Oryctolagus cuniculus: one gene and its partner. The protein of the gene in region 1 purifies or fractionates together with the protein of each later gene. This does not show direct contact. Links are inferred from orthologs where the notes say so. Each region holds a gene or a part of one and is shown on either strand. Other genes may lie near its edges.

Region 1 (4,297 bases):
CAAGGTGTAGGGTGTGGGGAGAAACCGGACTTCTTCCCATTCTTCCAACGCCATCTTCGCCCGGTAACACACAGGAAGCACTTGGCTAAGAGTAACCAGGAAAAGGGCCAGGACCCAGGGTGAGGAAGATGAAGAGAGGGGCAGGCGTTCGGCCTAGCAGCCCAGACCCTCGCATCCCGCACCGCAGGGCCCAGGTCCAGGCCCCGGCTCTGGCTCCTGACTCCGCGTCCTGCTAACGCACACCCTGAGAGGTAGAGGCGGCAGGATGGCTCAAGTGATTAGGTTCCTGCCACACGCGCGGGAGACCCAGACTGCGGTCACGGCTCAGCTCCAGCTGCTGTGGGCATTTGGGGAGTGACACAGCGGATGGAGCTCTGTCTGTCTCATAAACAAGCAAAAATTTTTAAAAGAAACAGTGAAGGCACAAAAGTGGGGAGTGTGCGGTTCTAGTCACTGGAGGGACAGGCAAGCTCTACGTTGCACAAACACAGACTCAGGCAAGGAAGAGGAAACAAACATTTATTGAGCGCCCACCAGGTACACGTCTGGCTGTGTGCAAGGAGCTGCCACCTAGAGAGCTCCATTCGATCCTCACGCCAACCCCGCGAGGCAGGTGCTAGCCCCACTTCCGTCCGATGAGGAACGTGAGGTTCAGAAAGGTTAGGAATGGACGAGTCCTCTCATCCACACTCCACCTCTGCTCTCGCCCACACGGCCTCGTGGGGGAGGGCGCACGGGCAAAGGCCAGGCCTTTCCACACCCTCCTCCCCCGGCCCTGCAGGCATCGAGAGGAGGGGCCTGTACTTCCCCCACACCCTCACCGGGGACGCAGCTGGCTGCAGATGCTAAGATATAAATACAAAAATAAATAGCAAGGACTAGGCCCCAGCAGCAAGGATATGCCACATCCACACTGCGGGAGGGAGCCCGGGGGCCCCGGGGTGCAAGTGGGGCGCCAGCTGCCAGAGGCCCGAGTGGGCAGGCCACACAGCCCCCTCTGGGCCACAGACTCCAGAACAAAACGCCTGCGGCAGGCAGCAGCCGTGGGCAGGCGCAGCTTCCTCCATCTGCTGCTCAGCGGTGCTTGTGATCCAAGAGGGACTCGAAGTCAGGGGAGCAGACGAGCTTGTGCTTCACGTGGCCCAGGACCGTCAGATCCCCCGTCCTGCTGTCTCCAAGGCCCACGGACACCAGCTCCTGCCAAGCGACAGACGGGGTGAGAACCCCCAGCTGTCCCTGGCCAGCGGCTCCCGTTCCTCGGGGCTCGAGCCCTGCCCGCCTCTCCCTGCGGCACAGGGTGCTCACCTGCAGGAAAGAGCAGGCGGTCCCCATGGTCACGTCCAGAGTCACCTTGCCCAGGAGGAGCTGCACCTTCCCTGATCTGCGGATGAGCAATTTGCCAACCTGCCCCTCCGTGAGGTCAGCCAGGGCACACGTGTTCTCTGCCTGCCTGGCTTCCTGTGGAGAGAGGAAGGGGGTGCAGACTGGGCAAGGAGCTCTCTCCTCCACCCTTCAGGAACAAACCCCAATCTCCCAGGGGAAGGCACTGGCAGCCCAGACCAGGGTAAGGCCCCCAGAGAGGGCCTTTTCCAAGGGCAATCTGCCATCGGTTAAAAGACAAAACCTGGGGTCGGCACTGTGGCGTAGTGGGTAAAGCCACAGCATGTGGTGCTGGCATCCCATATGGGCGCCGGTTTGAGTCCTGGCTGCTCCACTGCCAATCCAGCTCCCTGGGAAAGCAGTGGAAGACGGACCAAGTGCTTATGCCCCTGCACTCACATGGGAGACCCAGATGAATTTCCTGGCTCCTGGCTTTGGCCTGGCCCAACGCAGGCCAGGCCATTGCAGCCATCTGGGGAGTGAACCAACAGACAGAAGATCGATCTCTGTCTGTCTCCTTCTAATTTTTTCAAATAAATAAGTAAACCTTTAAAAATAAAAAAAAAAAATGGCCAAAACACAGAGAAAACAAATGTATAAAACATCAACAGCTGGGGCTGGCACTGTAGCATAGTACATAAAGCCGCTGCCTGCAATGCTGGCATCCCATGGGGCGCCAGTTTAAGTCCCGGCTGCTCCACTTCCAATCCAGCTCCCTGCCAATGGCCCGGGAAAGCAGTAGAAGGTGGCCCAAGTGCTTGGGTCCCTGCCATCCACATGGGGACCTGGATGGAGTTCCTGGCTTCAGCAAGGCCAAACCGTGGCCACTGTGGCCACCTAGGGAATGAACCAGCAGACTAAAGATCTCTCTCTCTCTCTCTCTCTCTCTCTCTGCAACTCTCTCAGATAAATAAATCTTTAAAACAAACCAACAACAGCTGCAGCTAAGGGATGGGACACAGGAGTCTCTGCCCTTGTAAAAGATGTAAAAATGACTGCAGAGGCTGGCGCTCCGGTGCAGTGGGTGAAACCACGGCATCCCACATGGGCGCTGGTTCTAGTCCCGGCTACTCCACTTCTGATCCAGCTCTCTGCTGTGGCCTGGGAAAGCAGCAGAAGATGGCCCAAGCCCTTGGGCCCCTGCACCCATGTGGGAGACCCGCAGGAAGTTTATGACTCCAGCCTGGCCCAGCCCTGACCATCACAGCCATTGGAGGAGTGAACCAGCAGATGGAAGATCTCGATCTCTCTCTCTCTCTAAAACTCTGCCATTCAGCTAAATAAAATAAATTAAAAAAAAAAAAAAAAAAAAAAAAACCCTCTGGAAAATGAGGCTTCCTGTGGTGCAAAACAGCCTGAAAGCCGTGCAGCTTTTCATAATGTGCACTTTCCACGGATTTTTCCAAGTACGCCTGCATGTTTGAAACTGTTCATTCTAGGAAGCAGGCGCACGTACACGGATTTGGGGCTGGCAGTGCAAAGCCCAGGCTCTGGCAGGTGCTGAGAGTGCATGCCTGCACCTGCACGCCTTCACCCCACCACCTCGGGCTCCCCCAGGGCTCCCCGGGACGCCTACCCGGTCCTTCTCCTGTTTGATGACCACCATCTGCCCGTCCTCGCCCTGCACCTCTGTCTTGATGGGCTTGACGTCCTGGGTGGGCGGCTGGCCGGGGAGCGTGTCCGGCAGCTGGAGGAACAGCAGTTCTTCCTCCTTGGTGAGGCTCAGCTCCCTCAGCAGCTCTGCCACAGACACGTCTTTCGGGAGGCCTGGCGTCCTCCTAGCCGCTCTGGGAGGAGCCTTCATCTTAGCCTCCTCCTCGTCGTCTCGTGGCTCCTCTTTTACTGCCCAGGGTAACAAACACAGAGGAGATACGAAGTGGGCGCCTCCATGCCACCTATTGCCCTGTCCACCCCACTACCGCTCAGCGAGGAGCCACGGGGAGACTGACAACGGTGAGGGGCGAGAGAGAGCACGCGCAGCTCTAAGAGCTAGGCAGGGTTGTCGGAGGCGTGGCCCCCGGGCAGGTCAACGCGGGAATCCTCCGAGAGGGTTTGTATACAGTAATATATTTATAGTACGGGTGTCCAGCTCACACATACGACAGGTGGAACGGGGCAGGGCCTACCCAGGAGCAGCTCAGGCCTGGCCTGAGGGATACCGGAATACCTTTCACAGAGGGCACGTCCACCTCCATGTCCTCCTCCTTGGGGCCGGCCAGCCAAGGCTTCACATCCTGATCCTCGCTCTCCTCCTTAAACAGCCAGCCCGAGTGCGCCAGCGGCAGCTGCACAGGCATGTTCCGGGTGTCGTTCCGCAGCCCAGGGTCATCGATGAACTGCCAAGGCAGAGCTGCGGGGTCACGGGCCGCTGCCCCTCGCTCCTCCCACCCCGGCAGCCCCCGCAATAGCGAACCCCCTCCCCGCCCCGGCACCCACGTCGTCTTTCTCCAGCATGCGCAGGATCTGCTTGGTCTCCTCGTCCGTCTCCCTCTTCTCCTTCTTGATGTTGATGATGTGAGAGGGACCCATATCCGACACATCCACGGTCTTATCCCAGCTCCCTGCGGGAAACCACCCTGTTCAGCAGCTAGCCGGCAGCGGGCGCTCCGTGGCTCCGGCCTGCCTCCGTGGCTCTGGCCCCGCCTCCATTCCTGACCCCTTCCTTGTACCTTTCTTCTTCATCATCTCAGCGGGGCCTTGCTCAAAGATGGAGTGGGACTGGATGACTTCCGGGCGGCCCCGGCCCCGCCCATGCCACTCCCGCTGCCGCTCTCGGTCCCTCTCCCGCTTCTCCTTCTTCACTGTGACCTCCTCCTTGGGCCTGCAAGAGACGGGGGATGCTGGGGACCACTTGGCCTGCCTTTGCCACGCCACTCCGCCAACCGAGCAGAGTTTGTGGAGCCCCACTCGGAGGCCA
Region 2 (4,133 bases), on another chromosome or scaffold:
CCAGACCACTAGTTTTCTGCTTCAGGGCCTCTGTACATGCTATTCCCTCACAATGTTAATTTCCATCATGAGAGCCTTCTCTTCCTGTAATCTTGGGAAGAGCTTCCCTGACTTCCATACCTAAAGCAAAATTCTCTCTCATGCTTTCTATCTTGATATTGTATTTTCTTCCCCAGAATTACAACTTTTTAAAAATATTGTTTCTCTTATGCAACACTTATTGTGTCTCACTATTATACCTATCCCCAAGGTACAAACCAGAAGCTCTATAAATAAATATCTTTAAAGAGGCTCTAGGGCAGCTCAACTAAGAGTTACTGAAAAGCTAACATGCCATAACTACCTACAGGGATTCATCTCATATTTACTAAGTGTCCACCTGCTGTCCAGTGTTGTGCTAGGTCCCAGGATCACACGAATAAATAGGATCAACTAAGGCCCCAAAGCACAGTGCATTGGGATATGGGAGTGCTCAGGCTCTAGGGTTGACAGGTATTTAGGATAATTGAAGAAGGAAGTTCTGGTATGACTGGTATGAAAGATGTTGAAGATGTAGACAGATACAATGGCTCTTGGATGTGATTTCACTAATATTTCAAGTTTTCCAAGTCATTTTCTCCACATGGTATTTTCCCTCTGTGTCCTTTCTCTCAAATAGTGTTTCTTCTATATGACCCTAGGCTACAGTTGGATACCTACTTAGACTAAAAATGTAATTTGCTCATTCCAGGTTTCTCCTCAGGCAGTAAACAATTATTCTATAGATGGTACAAAGATGGAGCTGGATAACTCCTGAGACCCTCATGTGAAACCAGAATTCTCAAAATTCTTTCAAATTATTCCCTAACCTTACCCAATCCCCTAAGAGAAAAGGATACAACTTTCTCATCAGTAAAATATCTAAGAAGCCAAGTCCACATCCTGACCTTCTTTCTTTTTGAAACCCACCAGTCTATCTGCGTAATGGTCTATTCCATCTCCTCTTTGCCTCACCACCCCAATCCTAGTCAGGAATGTATACTCCTTTTGATTCCCATGATGAAACCACTATTTTGGGTGCCTGATGCTCTGTTTTATCACTTTAAATGTTGGCTCTACTGCAAGCAAATAAAGTCATCCTTGAGGATGTTGCAAGGAACAGAAACCACTCAAAAATAGTTTCAATAAAAGAGGGAATTTATTAGGAGAATACACAGGTTCTTGCGGGGATTCCAACAGCTGTGATGAATGGGTCAACAGCTAGAACCATTTTTTTTTTTTTTTTTTGGAAAGATAGAGCAGGTTGTTGTAATCACAAACTTCTAATTCTGGGTTCTGCACAATCATGAAGAAGAGTATCCCAGAGATTAGTCCTCCTTGTATCCTGCACAAGGGACTAGAATGTGGATTCACTTCTGCTTGCTTTTTGATCCTTATAGTGCTTTATGCTGGCCTCAAACTTGTCAAGCACATGTTGGCAGACATTCATGAGCTCATTCAGCCCTCTCTGAAATGGCTCAACAGCTGGAAGAGCACCTCGAGTCTGAATGCGCAAATTAATTTTGCTCTCTGAAGGATGGGTCGTAGTGTAACCACAAAATTCCACTTCCGGGTTCTTCATAATCATGTAACGCAGAGAATTTCCTAGGGTATGGTCCTCCTCGTGCAAAACAAATGTCACACAGTGTCTATCTGTTCCAGCTGCCTGGACCATTTCCAGGGCTGTCTTCCTCTCGCCTTCGGCCATTGAGGTCTTCAATCCAGACATTTTTCTACACACATATTTTTTATAAAAGTGAGATCATACTGAATATTGTAACTAGCTTTTTTTTTCATTTACTATATCACAATTGCCACACATCATTACTCTAATCCACAGCAATTACACACAGAACTGTCAGCCTCTCTCTTTTCTGCCTCCACCACTTCTACCAATGAATATTTAATTTGCTGACTCCAGTTTCTCCCTGCTCCATTAACTATCCACGTGGGCCACACGGAGCATCTTCTTAGAAAAACATACACTTAAGTGTCTGCAAAGACATTTCTTTTGGAAGAGTCACAAGAAAGGGATATAGCATAGGGTGAGCCCTGCTGGAAGAGGAAAAGGGAGTTGAAGGTGTAGAAAAACACAAGATTGCTCCAGCATATAAACAGAGACTACAGATTATCAATGTGCAGGCCCAACTATGGCTTCCACTTGCAAGAGGTAAGGAAGCTAGGAAACGGTAAGAGCTGAAACAGTACAGCGGGAGGGAGAAACAGAACTCAGCGCTTTGAGGCAGGGCTACACGGCTAACAGTCTGCACGGAGGAGGAGGGAGAGCGGTAGTGACGGGGGGGCTTAAGCCGGACTGAATACGCCGCTGTTCTAACGGGGTTGGGCAGTTTCGGGACCCAACTCTGCTCTGCCAACTGGTCCGCCCTCCTCGAGAACTACTGTCCCTCGGAGCGCCTCTATTCAAACACATCCACGACTCCTCCCTTCTCCTCCCCGTCGGGCCCTGTTCCCTCTCTCAGCGTCCCGGGTCGGGCCCCTGCTGCTCTGCAGGGCCGCGGAGGTTAGGCCCGGGCCGGGCCGCGTGCCCGGTACCGCCCGCTCCCCTGCCTGGGCGCGGCCTACTCCGCCCGCCCCGCCCGCCTTCTCGGCCGTTACCTCTCCAGCTCTTGGTCGTCCTCCATCGCGGGTGCCGGTTCCAGGATCCTCAGGTGGTGCTGGCCGATCGGAGGCTCTGCCCCATGCCGCGAGCTGAGCGGCTGAGGCAGGAAGGAAGGAACGACGGACGGAAGAAGGCGGCGACGGAAGGAGGGAGGAGGAGCCGCAGCGGCGCGGCAGGGTCCGGGCGCTGGGCGGGACGTGGAGGCTCCGCCCCCGGCCCCGCCCCCGGCGCGAGGAGGGCGGTGGCGCCGGGCCCGAGCCGCTCACCTGGCGCGCCCCCAGCCTGGCGGCGTGCGGGGCGAGCCGGGAGGAGGGCGGCGGAGGGCCCGCTGGCGTCGCACCCGGAGGCCCCGGTCACAGTGCGTGCGCCCGAGCTCCACCTTTGGTACCGTCTCCCCAACTGGTGGCGAAGGGGGCAGGGCCTTACCTGCCGCCCCCACATCACCTCCCTTCTTGGGACCCAAGTCCGGCCTGCTAGACTCGACTGGAACCCTGTGGCCTCCCGGGAATCCAACCTCTTGTGGGACCGCAGGCTTGGGCTATACCGTCCTTAAATAGGAGGGGCTGAGTCTCGTTAACAGAACGTGGTGCTTCAAGACAGTACTCAGTGGGGTTCTTGCAGCTAAGCATCTCCCCCGGGACACAGGACAAGCGTTTACCGTTTTCCTTAGGGGAGAAGTGGGAGTTTGGGAGCACACTCACCCACCCCGTCCTTTCCTTCCCCCGGCCATGCACCTCCCTTCCACCCTTTTCTTTACCCCTTCTGCACCCCACCCCCGGGGAACCTCCCTCTCATCTTTGTTCCCAGGCGTCCCCTACCCCGCTTCGGCAGCCTTTCCTCGGCGGGGTTCCCTCTCCGGCCCCTTCCTCTCTGGGAGTGTTCAGTGCTGCTCCCCGCTGCTCACCCCCGGCTCCCGCAACCTCTCTAACGCCGGCCAGCCCCGGTCGCTGCCCTCTACCCCGGCTGTCCTCTCGCCCAGCACACCTACACGCCTGCTCTCCCGCGCCACCTGTTCCCCTCGACCTCCCCCCACCCCGCTCCGTGCGTCCCCTGCTCAGCTGTCCCGCTGTCCCCGCGGCTGCCCGGCGCTCGCTCACACACTTGCCGAGCGCCTTCCACAGAGGAATCAGGCGAGCGGCGGGGACAGCCCCAGGCGGGTGGGGGAGGGCGAGGGGCGAGGGACGGAGTAGGTTCACTCTAACCTAGGAATGACGGCCCCTCCTGGTCCGCCCCCTGCGTTCTCTGATAGGTGGATCCGCCTCTGATCCGCCCCCTCCCCGCCCTGTGGCGCCGCCGATTGGCCCAGCAGCGTGTCGGGTTGGGCCGCTCAGCCCGGCGCTCGCCCCCGGGAAGGCAGCAGGGGCGGTTGAGAAGTGAAGTCTTGGCCAGAGTTTGCTTCTTGCCGGGAAACCCGCGACTGCGGCGGCGGCGATTCCCGGAGGAGCGGAGCCTGGCCGACTCCCGGCTCCCTCGGCGGGCCGCGGAGAGCGGGAGC

The links. Proteins that work in one complex are often made in the same cells at the same time.
Region 2: the proteins of POLR3D (region 1) and POLR1D purify together in Homo sapiens (affinity purification with mass spectrometry; 6 studies listed by BioGRID and IntAct, counting the BioPlex papers as one, with this or other methods). This does not show direct contact. The link is inferred for Oryctolagus cuniculus from reciprocal best matches to the Homo sapiens genes POLR3D and POLR1D.

Annotation. Positions count from the first base shown.
Region 1 is NC_091439.1:1,075,021-1,079,317, forward strand, and holds the end of POLR3D (DNA-directed RNA polymerase III subunit RPC4), read right to left. Parts: intron 4,202-4,297; coding exon 4,050-4,201; intron 3,942-4,049; coding exon 3,817-3,941; intron 3,717-3,816; coding exon 3,548-3,716; intron 3,223-3,547; coding exon 2,957-3,222; intron 1,459-2,956; coding exon 1,306-1,458; intron 1,198-1,305; coding exon 1,075-1,197; 3' UTR 503-1,074; downstream 1-502. UniProt on the Homo sapiens protein: DNA-dependent RNA polymerase catalyzes the transcription of DNA into RNA using the four ribonucleoside triphosphates as substrates.
Region 2 is NC_091440.1:86,895,484-86,899,616, forward strand, and holds the start of POLR1D (protein POLR1D), read right to left. Parts: upstream 2,814-4,133; 5' UTR 2,661-2,813; coding exon 2,635-2,660; intron 1-2,634.